Linked DNA regions of Drosophila melanogaster. The protein of the gene in region 1 interacts with the protein of each later gene in a pairwise test. Each region holds a gene or a part of one and is shown on either strand. Other genes may lie near its edges.

Evidence for each region. Proteins that work in one complex are often made in the same cells at the same time.
Region 2: the proteins of CG8568 (region 1) and G9a interact in a two-hybrid assay, tested with the Drosophila melanogaster proteins (one large-scale study listed by BioGRID).

What each region holds. Positions count from the first base shown.
Region 1 is NC_004354.4:17,446,971-17,455,428, forward strand, and holds CG8568 (uncharacterized protein), read right to left. Parts: upstream 5,574-8,458; 5' UTR 5,359-5,573; coding exon 5,073-5,358; intron 4,166-5,072; coding exon 2,172-4,165; 3' UTR 2,020-2,171; downstream 1-2,019. Other genes in the region: p-cup (presidents-cup), read right to left, coding at 1-85, 180-655, 957-1,349, 1,435-1,731.
Region 2 is NC_004354.4:242,874-250,252, forward strand, and holds the start of G9a (G9a), read left to right. Parts: upstream 1-3,104; 5' UTR 3,105-3,976; coding exon 3,977-4,723; intron 4,724-5,508; coding exon 5,509-7,365; intron 7,366-7,379. Other genes in the region: CG3038 (uncharacterized protein), read right to left, coding at 1,566-2,473, 2,539-2,797.

The DNA of each region.
Region 1 (8,458 bases):
GCGCGCGATCTCAAACAACAAATAGGATCGCTCGATCGCAAAGCGGGAGTGACGCAGCCGATTCTCCAGTTGCTCTAGCTTCTGGCTGAAAATTTGAAATATATATATAAAAAAAAATAAAATGTATGTTTTTGAAGAGCACATTCGAAAAGCTTGGATACAGCTTCCCTTACACTCACCTAATTCGGCTGTGCCGCTCATCCTCCTTCTCGATCTCCACATAGATGTTGGGACCCCCGAACTGTACGCTCATGTCGTGCAGCTTCTCCGTCCGCAGTAGGTATAAGATGGGTCGATTCTGGGCCTGCAGGAAGTCGACATTGGCTGGCACCGCGCACTTGTCGCAATAGGCCAGTGCCAGGATATTGTAGACTTCGTTGATGAACTCAAACTTCCAGGGCAGCGTGCGATGGGTTTTATACTCTATGAATCCCGACATTATGTTCTCCACGTAATCGGACAGCTTCTCCACATCGCCCTCCCGGCGCCGCTTGTGCACCTCGTGCAGCATCCGCATGCAGTCGCGTCGCGTCTGGTACTGCGCATGGAACAGGTGCATCTCCTGCCACCGACGCCGCTCCTGGTCCGCAATCGGACCGTGCCGTTGTTGCACGTACCGCCGGTTGTACAACGGATTTCGGGCTTGAAGCATTTTCTAAGTGAATTCATGAGAAGTGGTGGGAAATGCTAGTAAAGCTCTTGATTTACACGAAAGTAATATGTTTAGTAAAATTAGAAAGCAAGTAAGTATATAGTCTAGGATTCTCTTAAAAGTTCATTTAATCTTACTAAACATGTTTATAGATGACATGTTTGCAAATTGTTTAACTGCAACTGTTAATCAATTTATATTATATTTAGAGTATTCCCTCTTTAAACTTTGTTCTCGACTCAGAGATGGTTTTCCCTGAAAAAGTTCAATTGCCAAGTGGTGTTTTCCCCTGAATTGGACTCACCATAAGCCGTCGCACAATCGTGAACTGCCTTCTGGTCAGCTTGCGCATTGGGGGCGTGGTGGCAAGCCTCAGGGGATCGAGGAAGTTGCGGTCGCTGCGCAGTTGACGCAGCAGCGCGATATCGACGGCGCTGCGGCCCAAGTAGTTGTGGTTGTACAGACTCTCACTCGCCCGCCGGCGGGCCTTTTCCAGTAAGGTCAACTGCGGCCGCTCCTTGATAATGATACTCTGGACGTCGCACTGCTGTTGGTCGCGCAGCTTCTTCCAAAGTGGGCGGGACACATGGGCGGCCAGCTCCTTCTGGCGTCGGTTGATTTGCTCCAGGACGTCCCTGTGCTGATGCATAAAGGGACGCAGGGATTCGCCCAAGGTGTCTTCGAAGACGGCGAGGCTCTAATGGAAGGTGATATTTCAAAAGCTATTTTCTTTTAAGCAATCTATTAACAAAATACAGTGAGATATTAACAATGACCCTCACCCTTTGCTTGATCATCTCGAACCGCCCGTGGGCAAACTGTCCGCCAAAGGGACGTCCGTCCGTATAAAGCGTGGTTAGGGCGTTCTCAAATTCGTTGGCATTGAAAAGCTCTTCGCACTTCTTGGCAATGATGTCGGCGGTATGTGAATGATTGAAACTCAATTCCCTTCGATGACCGAACATCGTTTCAATGGCCCGCTTCGATATCTGGATGTCCAGGAGGGCGAGATCCGGACGCACCAGCGATTGCTGGCTCCGAAGGAGCAAGGACTTGTACAGGCCACTCGTCCATGACATGTTGAATTTTGTACGGCTAATTTCATGCAAACGCAACTGGAATTTGGCAAGATACTAAGTGAAACCAGTGAACAAAAGTGTAAGTTTAACTGGTGGAGCAAAGCCAAAATGATGGGAATAATGTAGAGATCAGTGAAAAAACTATTATTAGCAGCTTTCGATTTTGCATTTGGCTTCAGGGCAGCTTAACCACCGAATACAGATATTAAAATACCAGGAGTTGTGGCTTAAATTTCAACCAGGCAAGCCTCGAAAAATACCTGTTGTTAACTTGGAATCTCAGTGATTAAATTACAATTAACGTTTATTTCGCTTGAGTTTGGCTTTGAGTTGGTTTCAATAAATACAATAAATACGTATTAATTAACAGGCTTCAACGTTTAGCATTAACAATTCATTAACAATTACGAATTACAATAAATTAAGCTAAGGAGTGGGGCCTAATGGTGTTTCCTCAGGGGGCGCGGCAGGCGGCGGGTGCGCAGACGGCGACGTCGGGACAACGACTTCGCTGCCGGCGTCGCATTTGCATTTCCATATGCATTTCCACTTGCATTTTCATTCGCATTTGCATAGGCATTTTCATAGCCATTGCCATTTTCATCAATTTTCACAGCGCTTTCTTCGGGCTTTGCTGCTTCAGCGGATTCTTCAGCAGCGTCTACCTCGCCTTCTTCCTTTTCATCGTCCTCCTCATCTTCTTCCTCCTCGTCGTCTTCATCTTCCTCTCCTTCTTCATCCTCCCCATCTTCTTCTTCTTCGTTATCTTCATCTTCTTCAGCGGCTGTGTCATTTGGATTGACCTTTTCTTCATGACTTGCCTTCACCTCTTTCTCCGGCTCTATCTCCTCTTTCTGCACGCCCTCTTCGGACTTTTCTTCCGCTCCCTCTTCCTGTTTCTTCTCCTCCTTCTTCACCTGGCTTGGGGGTTCCTTCACCCGGTTTTTTTTCTCCACCTCATCATCATCGTCCACGTTTATCTCATTATCACTATCATTTTCCATTTCAACAGCCACTGTTGTCGAGTCTTCTTCGTCGTCTTCTGCCTCCCCTTCTTCAGATGTCTCGCCCTCTTTCTCTGGCTCTTCTACTGTCTTCTCACCCTCTGCTTCTACTGTCTTTTCCCCATTGTTTGTGCCATCAATAACAATGTTTGGCTTGTTAAATGTCGTAGCTGTTGTCGGTATTTTTGTCGTTGTTGTTGGTATTTTCGTTATTGTGGCTGTTGTTGTTGTTGTTGTGGGCGCTTCAGTGGCTTTTATTGAATTGGTAATTGTTTCAATTACCTGACTTGGCCTCAGGCCACTCTCGCCATAACCATTGTCATTGTCAGGTGTCTCTTGCTCAGACTCCGTCCCCGTCTCTTTCTCTTTCTCCGCCGCCTCTGCTGCCGTCTCTTTTGCGTCTTCAGCTGGCATTTCTTCGGCCTCTTCTTCGAAAGGTGCTTCTTCTGCCTGATCGCTGGCCATTAGCATTTCACTTTCGATTGGCAGGGGCTCCACATCTTCAAGTTCTTCGTCCTCCTGGTGATCTCCCTCGCTCTCTAAAGTCTTCTCCTCCTCTTCTTGAAGATCCTCAGCTAGAGGCTGTTCTTCTGGAACTTTTTGGGGAACCATCGCCATCGGGGGTTGATAGCCCATCGGTTCATCTTCATCCAGTGTATTTTCTGAAGGCTGTTGAATCTCTGGCTGCTTTTCTGCAGGCTTTTCTTCTTTTTGGTCTTCAACCTTAATTTGACCTAGTGTTTGATAACCTGATTCTTCATTTTGTGTATCCTCCTCCTTATCTACCTGATCCTGTTTAGCTGGCTCGCTTAGAGTTTGATTCTTTTGAGGTTGGTAGATTAATTCTTCTAGATTTAATTGAGGCTCAATCTTCTGTGCTTGATTATTTATGATGAGAGGTTGATAGCCCATTGATTGATTCTTCTCCATCTCATCCTCTTTAACCTGATCAGTGGTCAGTGTTGTATTCTTCTGCTGCTGATTGTTATCTGGTTGATAGCCCTGGGATGGAGCCTCCTCCTTGACATCCTCTTGATAAGGATACTCTTCCGGTTGATCCTCCAGCTCGGCGTACTCGTACTCCTCCGGATCGTCGCTCTGACCATCTCCCATCGGCAGTACGGGCTTGCCATTCTTGTCCACATACTGCAGACCATCCAGACCCATTCGCATGCACTGGAAATGCATCTCGAAGAGATCGGTGGTGGCCATCCGAACCACAAAGTCCATGCACATGTTTAGGTTGTTCCCAACCACTGTGACGTCGGTCATTTGGACGCACATGGCCATCGGTACACCCATCATGACGGGAATGCAGAAGGGCGCCGGATTGCGCACCGAGATTCCGTATTTCGAGGAGGGCCTGCCATTAAGAAAGACCTCCAGTTGGGCCTCCTCCAGATGCGGCACGAAGCTCACGTTGGCGCACACTGCAAACAGAGGCAAAATGGAAAGAAAACGTTGAGTCAAAATTACAGATAGGCACAACAATGAAACGATTCGATTCAATGAATGAAAGTGGCGGGTGGCAAACTGTCGACGAATCCCAGGCAAATGGTGGGTGCTGGGTGCTGAATGGTGGATGGTGGATGAGGCGATGAGGGGGTGGCCACCGCTGGAAGCGCCAACAATTTGTGGCATTTTGATTGGCAAATGCTGGCATGTCACGAAGCGAAGCGGAGCGAAATGGAAACCAAGCCAAACCACCGATCGCATTGTAGTCTCCGGCATGCGCCGCCAACCCGCGGCCAAGATCGGTTTCTTGGCCAAGGAAATCGGCCTGGAATCCAGCCGAAATCGCAGCCAAATATGTGTGGCCACCACCCGCAGGCCAGGAGCCACGATTCCGACCAGGCTAAGTGACGGCAAAGATCCCAATTTATGCATAAGCATATGGCCGACGGATTGATCCTACGGCGATTACTAACCTAGTGCCCATTAGTGTATATTAAGATATTAAGGCTAAATAGCATGCTGAAAATGAAAACCCATTAATGGTTTTCTTCACCAAATAAATAACAAGTGCACTGTGCAAAAAATCTACTAAATGCATATCCTTTCTCGCGTAGATATAATACATGTTATTCGTAATCAATGTTCTTGTTGGTTTCAAACCATAATAATATACATCAATACAAAACCATTTCTTTCTAAAGAAATGAGAAATATTTTTAACATTCTGAATTTGAAATTATAACTAAGGTTGTAATTTTCATAATGTCTCGAATGTCACACTGTTTCATATTACTAATCTCCTAATCAATAATCTACTAAACATTTAAAGTATTGCAATATTCTATTCCCCATTAATAGCTAACGAAGCATGGGCTTTCTCACCTTTCTGATCGAATCGGTACTGATCGACCTTGAGACCGGCGCAACATCCGCAGGTGGGTCCGCTGCACTCGCAGGGCTGGCCAAAGGTGGACCAGATGGACCCCTTTTCGGAGTACTTGACGCTGGCCAGATTTCGGCCCCTGGACACACTGACCGTGGGCGGTAGGTAGGGTCGGTGGGTCTTCAGTTCGTAGAAGATCAGACCGTTGCTGTAGCTGCGCGAGGATGTGTGAAGGGGGCACAGGATGAGCACAATGGCCGCGCTTAGGCAAATCCAGGGAATCATGGCCACTGTGGATGTCAAACTGCACACTGAACAAAAAACTGATGAACACTGAACAAAAAAGGGTGCTGCAACGCGTTTCAGGTATGGTATTGTGTGTGGTATTCTCTTGGCGAATTCCCGGATCACTTCACGATTAACGGTAACGGTACAGCCGTGGCAATCGCAATCCAATGGCAATGGCAATTCAACTATTATTCCAGTGGAGCAATGACAACCGCTCGCGATCGACGACAATTAAATATTAAAACGCTGAACGCGACGAGCGTTAGCTTAAAAATGAAATGGAAACCGCCGCCCGAATAAGTGGACGTCGACGTCGACGGCAGCGACTGCGACGGCGAGCGCGGCAGAGGCCAAAATGTTGCTGCTGGGGGGACACCGCAGCAACAGCAGCACCACGCAGCAGCAACAGCAACAGCAGCCGCAGCAGCAGCAATATCCAACGGCAGCGCGGCAGCCTCGTTAAATTGTCGCTCGTTGCGGCTGTTTGCTGTTTTTGCGGGCAAACCATTTGTACACTACTCGAAAAAGGGTAGCACAGTCCAGTGAATAGCTTTGTACATTCCGATATGCTTAAGAACTTCAAATAGTAAAATCCTTATAATTCTACTCTAACAAATATTGAGTATCATAATCAAATGTATATTCAGTTGAAATTAAATAAAGTATTATATATATTTAACAAACAAGATATTTAAATAATATATAATTATAATATAAAATATATAATATATAAATTCTTTATAATAATTATGTATATAACCCAATAATATATATTCTTAGTATTATTAAGTTTATGATCCTATTTTATTTGTGATTTGGTTTAATTTAAAACTTTTCTTATGATTTGCATTTATTTCACTTTGCGACTTGAATTTTTTTGGCAGCATGGTTTGTTTTTTAAAAAATATTATTATTTTTATTTAAAAATCCATAGTTGTTTAAACATATCCTAACTCCCTGATTAGGGTATTCCATATTCGCATTGATCTCAGACGATTTAGTTCTTATCAGCAGCGGCGAATCGCCAATTTCTGTTGTTGCTGCTGCAACCATTTTTTTTTTTTTTTTGTATTCCTCTTTACTATTGTTGTTACTGTTTCTGTTACTGTTACTGCTGCTGTTCGTGCAGTTGCAGTTTTTACTGTGGCAGCCGCTTTGTTTATTTGTCTTTTAAGCCGATGTTGCTGCTGTTGCTGCTTTGCTTTGTTGCGTGCGACGAGCGGTTTTTGTTTTTTTGTCGTATTTCGGGTGACAGTGACAAGAAAATTGCGGCGATCGTGACTGGCTGGGAAAGCCAAAAACAACAAAATTCCACACTCCCTGCCGCATTTGTTGTTGCTGCTGCTGCTGCTGCGTGGTGTTGTTGTTGTTACGCAAAGCACTTGAGGCAGGTCATGGCCCCATGGACAAACCGAAACCCTCCACTCGACTCGACTCCACTCCACTCGTTTTTCGAACTGGGCACCGCACCATTGCCGGCGGCGGGAGTTACGGTTATGGCCGCTGCTGTTGCCATAAACAAGCCTGATTTATCGATCCGATTGCCGCATCCGTTGTGGATGTCACTAGTTTATTCTCTTCCCTGGTTCATCCTTTTCCCCAAAATGGCATTCTTCGAATGCATCAACAAGCAAATAAACCAGTCCTTTGGGCAACACGTCCTGTTTCATTTCATTTCATTTTGTATTCGATTGTTGCGATTCCCATTTGATGGTTCTATTTCAGCAAATTGGGCTTTTTTAACCCTTTTATAACAATCTCTGGCACTGCAAAGTCCTTTCTTTTAACAACAATAACGAACTACACGGAAAATTGTATCTGTTTTCAAGAAGTGAAATACGTTGCAAGAAGATAAATTAACAAATTTGAAAACCTCTTTGTTTGCATTGCATCTGAACAACAAAATATTTCTATGATTTTTGGCATAAGCTATGATATTATATTAACAAATCATTAATGTTTATAAAAGAGATATTTATGAAAGAGATATTTCAAACTATTGGGGCATCACTGCATTTGAATGGCAGCGTATTTCGGTGGCTATTTCGGGTACCGGTCCCAATCGCCTTAGGGCCCCAATATTGCATAATGTCTGGCCCAGACTCATTTATCAGCCGGTGGCCGGTGTCCGATGGCCAATGGCCAATGGCCGATGACCAAAGGCCAGCGGAGGAGAGTCAGCCGAACTGCAATCTCGTTAAGCGTTAAGGGGGACAGACACTTGCCAAGTTCGAATCATTATTTCGATTCAAAGGCGGGCGGCGGAATAAAGCAAAATGGAAATAGATGTGAAAATGAAATTGAAAATGGAAGTGGAAATAAAAGTGTCGCCAACAATTAACGCTAATAAGCTGGACTGGCTGGGAGCTGCGGTGCAATGTGCTTTCGTTTATGTAATGGGCCATCTCGTCATTATCAGCCGACTCGCTTATTGGGCATTATTATTCATTACTGATAGCATCAATTTGGCACGCCTGCGAGTCTTTCTCGGCGAGTTTTTTCTCTGGCCCTTACGCAAAACTAACGACCAGACTCAAATATATAACTGAAATGAAATATGTGGGTCAATTGACGGGTAGGAGCTTTCAGCGGATTCCAATTGCTTGGTATCCTGGCTCAGAACATCCTTCAAGCTTTCGACACAACGACAAGATAAGCTAAATTGACAAACTTTAAGCTCTTTTGCAACGCAGGGTTTGAATTTGGGCTTCAACTTTAGCGTAAACTTACGCAATCTCTAGGGAACACCGCACTGCCATTTTAAATGCATCCAATACTTGGTAAGGTATTTCCTTTTTAGCTACAATATTATAAATGCATTACAAACTTTCGCTTTTTGGCCCTTCAATGTGCATTGTCATTTGAGGTTATTTAAAGTGCATAGATGCAACTAAAGCTTAACTGTGCATAAAAAATCAACAAGCTGAAAGTGAGCTTCCGGCTTAAATTATTGCTTAAATAAATTGCTAATTGTATCAAGTTTAAATACATACCATTCTTAAATTGCAAGTTATTAGTTCTAATAGGGCTATGAGCAAAATAAAATATTTAGGATTTTTGGCAATAAAATGTTGTGAAAAAATTATTTATGAAAAAT
Region 2 (7,379 bases), about 17 Mb from region 1:
CGTTTGTAAATATCCGATTTTTGCCATTTTTATTTTGTTTATTTCGGTAAAAAAGAATCTGTATTTTCTCAATAGCATTAAAAATAACTGTCCAAGAGCGAAATGCCATACCTCGTTGAATTCGTAACAAAATTCCCCATCGACCTGTATTCAGAGATAGGAATTCAAATTTTTTGCCATTTTTCGCAAATTTTAATGATGGTACCCCTTATCAAAAATGCGAAAATGTGTTAAAATTTTTGTTTTTGATTATAATAAAAATAGTGACACTGATAGTTAGCTATGTTTATTGGCAGTACAAAACAGTCTTCATTTAAGCGGTTATAACTTTTTTGGCCAGGTTATGCACAAAACCCCGTTTGTAAATATCCGATTTTTGCCATTTTTATTTTATTTATTCGGAATCTGTATTTTCTCAATAGCATTAAAAATAACTGTCCAAGAGCGAAATGCCATACCTCATTGAATTCGTAACAAAATTCCCCATCGACCTGCATTTAGAAATAGAAATTCAGATTTTTTGCCATTTTTCGCAAATTTTAATGATGGTACCCCTTATCAAAAAATGCGAAAATGTGTTAAAATTTTTGTTTTTGATTATAATAAAAATAGTGACACTGATAGTTAGCTATGTTTATTGGCAGTACAAAACAGTCTTCATTTAAGCGGTTTTTGGCGATTTTTATTTTGTTTATTTTTGCTAAAAAAGAATCTGTATTTTCATTTCATTTTAGCGGTGATATCTTTTTTGACCAAGTTATGGATGGAACCCCTTATGTTAATATCCGGTTTTTGGCAATATTCGTATTATTTTTTTTTGTGGAATGCCATACCTCGTTGAAATTGTAAAAAAAAATATCCCATCGACCTACATTAAAAAGTGGAAATTAAATTTTTTTGGCATTTTTCAACAAGATTTGCTACGCAGAAAAAAATTATTCCGAAATTTAAAGAAAATGTCTTAGCCTTTAGAACTAAGTGTCTACCGGAATATATAATTTCATTTCTGAATCTTTTATCAAAACTACTATAAATTTTCAGCTGTTATGTAAATTGATTTGCTATTTTATTAGGGTCCAGGATAGAAGACATTCCGCGTTTTGTCGATTATATTTTGTGGAATTCATTTCTTTTCGACTAATATTCTCCTTAAAAAAATCAAAACATAAATCTTTTTGTCTTGTTCTGTTTTTAATCTTATTATTATTATTTATTTCGTAAAAATGCAGTGTAAAACAAAAAACACATTAGAACAGTTTTATTTTTAAAATTGATGATTAAAAAAAAAACAATGAAAGTATGTTTTCATGTCCTATTATTTTTCATTTAATTTTCCGACTGTTACTATGGCAACCGAAATTATATATAATTAAAAAACTGGTGTATAGTAATTCATGTAAAGTCGATTTCTGGCAAACATTTATTGTAATGCATATATATATATATGCAAGGATGAGTATCATATCCCTTTTCCAATATTTGTCTCTTCCTTCATCACCCCCTTTTAAAAAGTCCTTACATGATAGTTGCTAAAGGATGAAAAGCCATTTGTCCTTGAACCGATGTCACCTGAGTCGCAACGCTTTTATTTCAGGAAAACCATGTTTAGGGGGTCGAGATTTGGCCGCCGCTAAACAGGTCTCTTTGAGCGACTTACCAACCGGCCGTTTGACGCATTCATCAAAGTAGCACTTCTCAACGTTATGCAGAAATTCCACCAGTAGTCGGTCGTCACCGCCATTGGGTCCCACGGAGTACTCGCACTCATAGTTGTGCTTCTTGAGATCTCGCACACAGCAGTCGATGAACTCTGCATTGGCAGAAAACCAGTCGTTGTGACGCTCAAGGGGAATACCCAAACGAGTCCTTACTACTCCAGTCAACCAGGTGTCATCGATCCAAAAAAATGACATCCTCTCCGCCTCCGCCACAATCCTCTCGGCTGTTGGCACGTTGGTCACGTAAAGCCAGCCCGACAAATAGGCGGGATATAAAGCCTGAGGATACTCCTTTTTGCTAACGTACCACTTATTGGCTCGAAGGCGAATGGGGGGCTTGGCATCCAGTACGTAGCCAGATAACAAAGTACTTGATGTGGCCAGTCCAGGTTCGCGCACCTCGAGGGTCTCTAAATACCTGCGCAGATGAAACACATCGTAAATGATGTCATCATCCAGTTTAATGATAAACTTGGCCTGCTTTTTGCACTCCTCAGAGACCCACTTTAATCCCATTACGTGTTTGTAGCTCAGATTGCGATAGTCCTCGATGAAATTCCCCTGGAGAAGGTCCCCGAAACGATTCTGTTCGCTGGCCAGTTGATCCTGGCTTATAAAATGCTCTCTTGAAGGCAGGGCTGCCAAGAGAAAAACTCTTCGCAGGCCCATTTCTTCCAGTTTGCTTTGGGGAATTGCCTGTCGGTGAGCTGATCGCAAGGCATCGTGTCCGGCATACGAAGTAACTATTAAAACGGCTAATCGGGAATTACAAAAATGATTAAGGATTCCTTACAATGGTTGATTAAAGCAAAGAACTTACCTAAGAGTTCTCTTTTTGCCTTTCGACACACATTACTGGCCAGCAAGTAGTGGAAGTCCGTGAGATTCAGAAGATTACTTAACGGAGTATTAGGGTTAGATGGATTCCTCTTCGTTTCGAGTGGTAAGTGCAGCAAGAAACCGTTTTTGCGGGACTGGCTTGAATCCCTCAAGTGATTCGAAAAGTAACAGAGACTCAGTAGGACGATCAAAAGAAGCGACAAAATAATCGGAAGCAATCTTCGTCCGCGCATGCGCATTTTTCTTACATTCTACGTGGGATTCCCCTCGCACTATGCCGTCTGTAAGTATATGTGGCTTGGTCTATCTTGCTAAACTTTAATAAACACAATGCCTAAAACGATTATATATTAAGAAAAAAATAAATTGAGATGCGTTAATAACAATTGTTTTCACGCCTTTGCCAGTGCTGCCCTATCAAATTAGCGATAGCTAAATTGGGAACCGTGTCACCCTATTTTCTTTTAGCGATTACACATTCCAAGCAGCGTTGCCATGTCCGATAAACATCGATTTTTGTGCCATGCCAGCTCTAGTTGTTGTGTTGTTGCTGTTCTTTACGGATAACAGTTTTCAGCGCGAAGTGCGTGCGTGTGCGTGCGTCAAAAACGCAGTTCTGTATGTGTGTTCGTGTGCTTTTCTTATATTTTTCTAAAGTAATGTTATTGAACTGGTTGCCTATGTAAAGAGAAAGCCACGAAAACTACAAGCATTTGTAAATTCGTTGAAAAATTTGCAGCTTACCAATTCCAAAATCTCAAAACAGTGACTGCAACACCAACAAAAACGCAGTAGCAGCGACGTCGGCAGAGAAACAACAAGAACAACAATCTTGGCGTTGAAGCGATGTGAGAGAGTGTAATATTTGACAGCATGTGAGCTAATCAGCAAAGCAGCGATTTCTGCAAACATTTTGAGCTTCTTAAGGGCAATTAATGAACGAAAAAGTGGAAAACTATAGTAAATATATAGTAAGAAATATAGTGAGAAATTTTGTATTTTTACGTTTTGTTCTCTAGAAATTAAAAAAAAGAGAGGATACAAAAAATTTAGCTGTGACCACCAAGAAACGCAGTCGACTTCGCTGCCGGCAGAACGAAGAAAAAGAAAGAGCATAATATAAAGCAGAAAAACCAGATTTTAATGTCTAAATTTTAAAGATTAAATGTTTTATTTTGCCTTATGTTTGCCCATTTATACTCAAAAATATCGGTGTCAAAATAGTTGCAAATTCAGAACAGCAAAGCAACAACAAAGGCTGCTGCTTGTACGACCGATGCACAAATCTTGTCGGGAAAAATAGGGTTCTGAAAGCGAAATTATGTTTTTATTGGCTTAAAGATGGAAAATTGACTCCTGAAATCGAAAATCAAAGAAACTAATACGCAAAGTAATCAAATAGTGACAATTAAGGCAAGATGACGGACTTTGTTGAGCTGATGAACAGCATGTCCAGTACATTCAATAGCGACTGTGCTACTTCAACAGCGGAGGGTGGTACTTTGCTAAATCTGAACTTGGCGGAAGACAAAACCCTCAAGTGGCGTAATTTGGCCAATAACCAGTTCGCTAGTAAAGAAAAGAAGCACAAGGACAAGGAGGAGGAGGAGCGCAAGGAGGCAAGGAATCAAGAGGAAATCGAAGACATCAAAGCACTTTTGGCAGATGTTGTCGATGCGGCCGCTGTCAAGCTGGAAGAAGAAGAAGCGCAGAATGCAGAAAAAGTCGAACCACATACAAAATGCGAAATAGAGGAAGAAGGTAGGAAGGAAATGGAGTACGATCAAGATGTCGCAAAACAAGACTCCGAAATGGAAAAAAAGCAGAATGGCAAAGCAACATCCATAACAGTAAAGATGGAAAGCAACGAGCGTGCAGAGAAACACGCAACGGAAATTGCAACGACGTCGACAGAGAGATGGGAAAACGAAAGCTTTAAAACTGAGCAGCAAAATAAAAAAGCTGCTGAGAAAGAAGAAGAACCCATACTAGCAGCAACACAAAAATTGGAAGCAAATGCAGAACCACTGACAACAACAAGAATTGAGGTAGCAGTAGCATCTCCACTTGTTGTTAGTTCTGCTAGCGTTAAACTCGCTGCTGACGCAACCAACCAAATGCGAGCAGCGACGTCGGCAGGAGCAGCGACATTAGCTGATAAAAATGTAAGTAAATGTGTGTGTGTTTGTGTGTATCAGCTTCGAAATTCTTGCTTTTTCTTTTATATTTTAATTTATTTAGATGTTAGCCCTTGACTGCTGAGTTCTTTTCTTTCTAGTGTTTCACGTGTAGTTTAAATCAAATACATACGTAGTTATGATTGATGTACACATATTTATATACATAAATATCCTAATGTATGGCATTGTTTTGGTTCATACCAATCATAAAAAAGGTTAGGGATTTATTTCATTTCTCTACTTTTTGTATGTCATACAAATTAAAGACGTATTATGTTGGAGAAGTTACTATTTGTTAATTCATTTAGAAGTTAGCCCTTGACTGCTGAGTTCTTTTCTTTCTAGTGTTTCACGTGTAGTTTTAATCAAATACATACGTACATATGATTGATGTACGCATATTTATATACATAAATATTCTAATGTATGTCATTGTTTTTGTTCAGCTGTTTGTTTAATATGGTTAGGTCATAAAAAGGTTAGATTACAATTGTTAGTTTGTCATAATTCCAGAGGGATTTGAATACAAGAAAGACTTGAAGTAATTGCATCCAATTTTAAGAGGGTTAAGCCATCCATTCATTCATCCTCTTGGTCAACAGACCTCTTATGTTTGGTAGAAACAGTTGTCTAGGCAACCGATGAAGGCATTTGAAGCTTTCTTTGAGGACTGGTACTTCTAGTTAGTATGTCTCTATATTATATAATATATAATATTATCCTGAGTACTTCTTTAGTCGGCACATTCAATGAGTCTCTGTACTTTGCAGGTACAAGTTTCGCCCGGTGGAACGCGACGGTCTCGAAGAACACCCAGACCCATAGACACGCCCACTTCAGTTACTGATGAACATGTTCAGGTGGAGAATAAAAAATTTGGAAAGTCGGAGCAGTATACGGATTGTAGTAGCCATCTGGAGAGGTTCACACTGGACGATAATACTGCTATTGTCAGACTGCAGTTGAAAAGTGAACCGGACAAACCGTCATTAACTGCATTATCTCCTGAGGAAAACTCGGCTCCTGCTCCGAAGCGAGGAAGGGGTCGAGCCAGGAAAATAAGACCCGATGCCGAGGTGGAAACCAGTGAGGTTATTTTACCCTGCGAGGATTCATTAGGGGAGAAGAAACCAGGACGCAAAAGGAAACTCCCGGATGAACCGATAGATCAGCAGCAACTAAGCGACCTTGTCGTGGTAAAAACAGAGCAGGAGGAATTGGGTGACGCTCCCTTGGGAGATGTTAAGAGAATGCGACGTAGCGTTCGTTTAGGCAATCGATTACACGCCGATGGAAGCCCTTGGGAGGAGGTAAAGACAGAGGCACTTCACCCGCAGCCTTCTGCAGAACTTTCCTTTGCGGAGGTCACTTCTGAGATCTTGCCACTAGCTGTCTTAGATGAGAAGACCCCACCCAAAAAGCGAGGGCGGAAGGCAAAAACGCCCTGTGTGAAGTTAGAATCTGAAACATCCTGCGGGCTACCGTTTGCTAATGGCAACAAGAAAACGAATTCCTCTGGTGGATGCGAACTTCAGCTGCCCAAGCGTTCAAAAAGAAGAATAAAACCAACGCCAAAGATATTAGAAAATGACGAACTGCGCTGTGAGTTCGAAACGAAGCACATTGAGCGTATGACCCAGTGGGAGAGTGCTGCAGCAGTAGATGGGGATTTTGAAACGCCAACAACAGGCGGTAATGGGTCCAATTCCTCGACCTCAAGGCAAAAGAGCGACAAGTCCGACGGGAGCAACTTCGAAGGTGGTCCAGGACATCCTGCAGGCACAAGTGCCATAAAGAAAAGACTATTTTCAAAGTCCCAGCGGGACATTGAGAACTATGGCGCAGCAATGCTAGCCAAAAGTAAGTTACCTCCGTGTCCGGATGTCGAACAATTTCTAAACGACATCAAGGCATCTCGAATTAACGCGAATCGGTCACCAGAAGAAAGGAAATTGAACAAAAAACAGCAACGAAAACTGGCCAAACAAAAGGAAAAGCACCTGAAGCATTTGGGCCTGCAAAAAAATCACAGAGATGAGCCCTCGGATAACGACAGTTCCAATACGGACAATGAATTCTTTCCTACTACAAGGGTGCAAGTGGGAAAACCAAGTGTTACTTTGAGAGTAAGGAATAGTGTTACCAAGGAGCTTCCCACCACAGCCACTTTGAAATCACGCCGGAATCCAGTCGTGCAGGCAGCCAAACTCACGAGAAGGATAGGTGCAAGAGCCGCCGGTGAAGTTACTGAGGCAGCCCGAGCAAGTGTGCCAATTTCTACACCTGATGCGGAGCAGCTTCACTCGTTGGACACTTCTATTCAAGCTGATGTTACGCCCATAAGAGACTTAGATATGAGGCCCAGCACCTCCAGAGTGTCAAAGTTTATTTGTCTATGTCAGAAGCCTTCCCAGTATTATGCCAGGAATGCCCCGGATTCATCATACTGCTGTGCCATCGATCACATCGACGACCAAAAAATTGGCTGCTGCAACGAGCTGTCCTCAGAGGTTCACAATCTACTCAGACCCAGCCAACGCGTTAGCTATATGATCCTATGCGATGAGCACAAAAAGCGCCTACAATCACACAACTGCTGCGCAGGATGTGGCATATTTTGTACACAGGTAAAGACAGAATT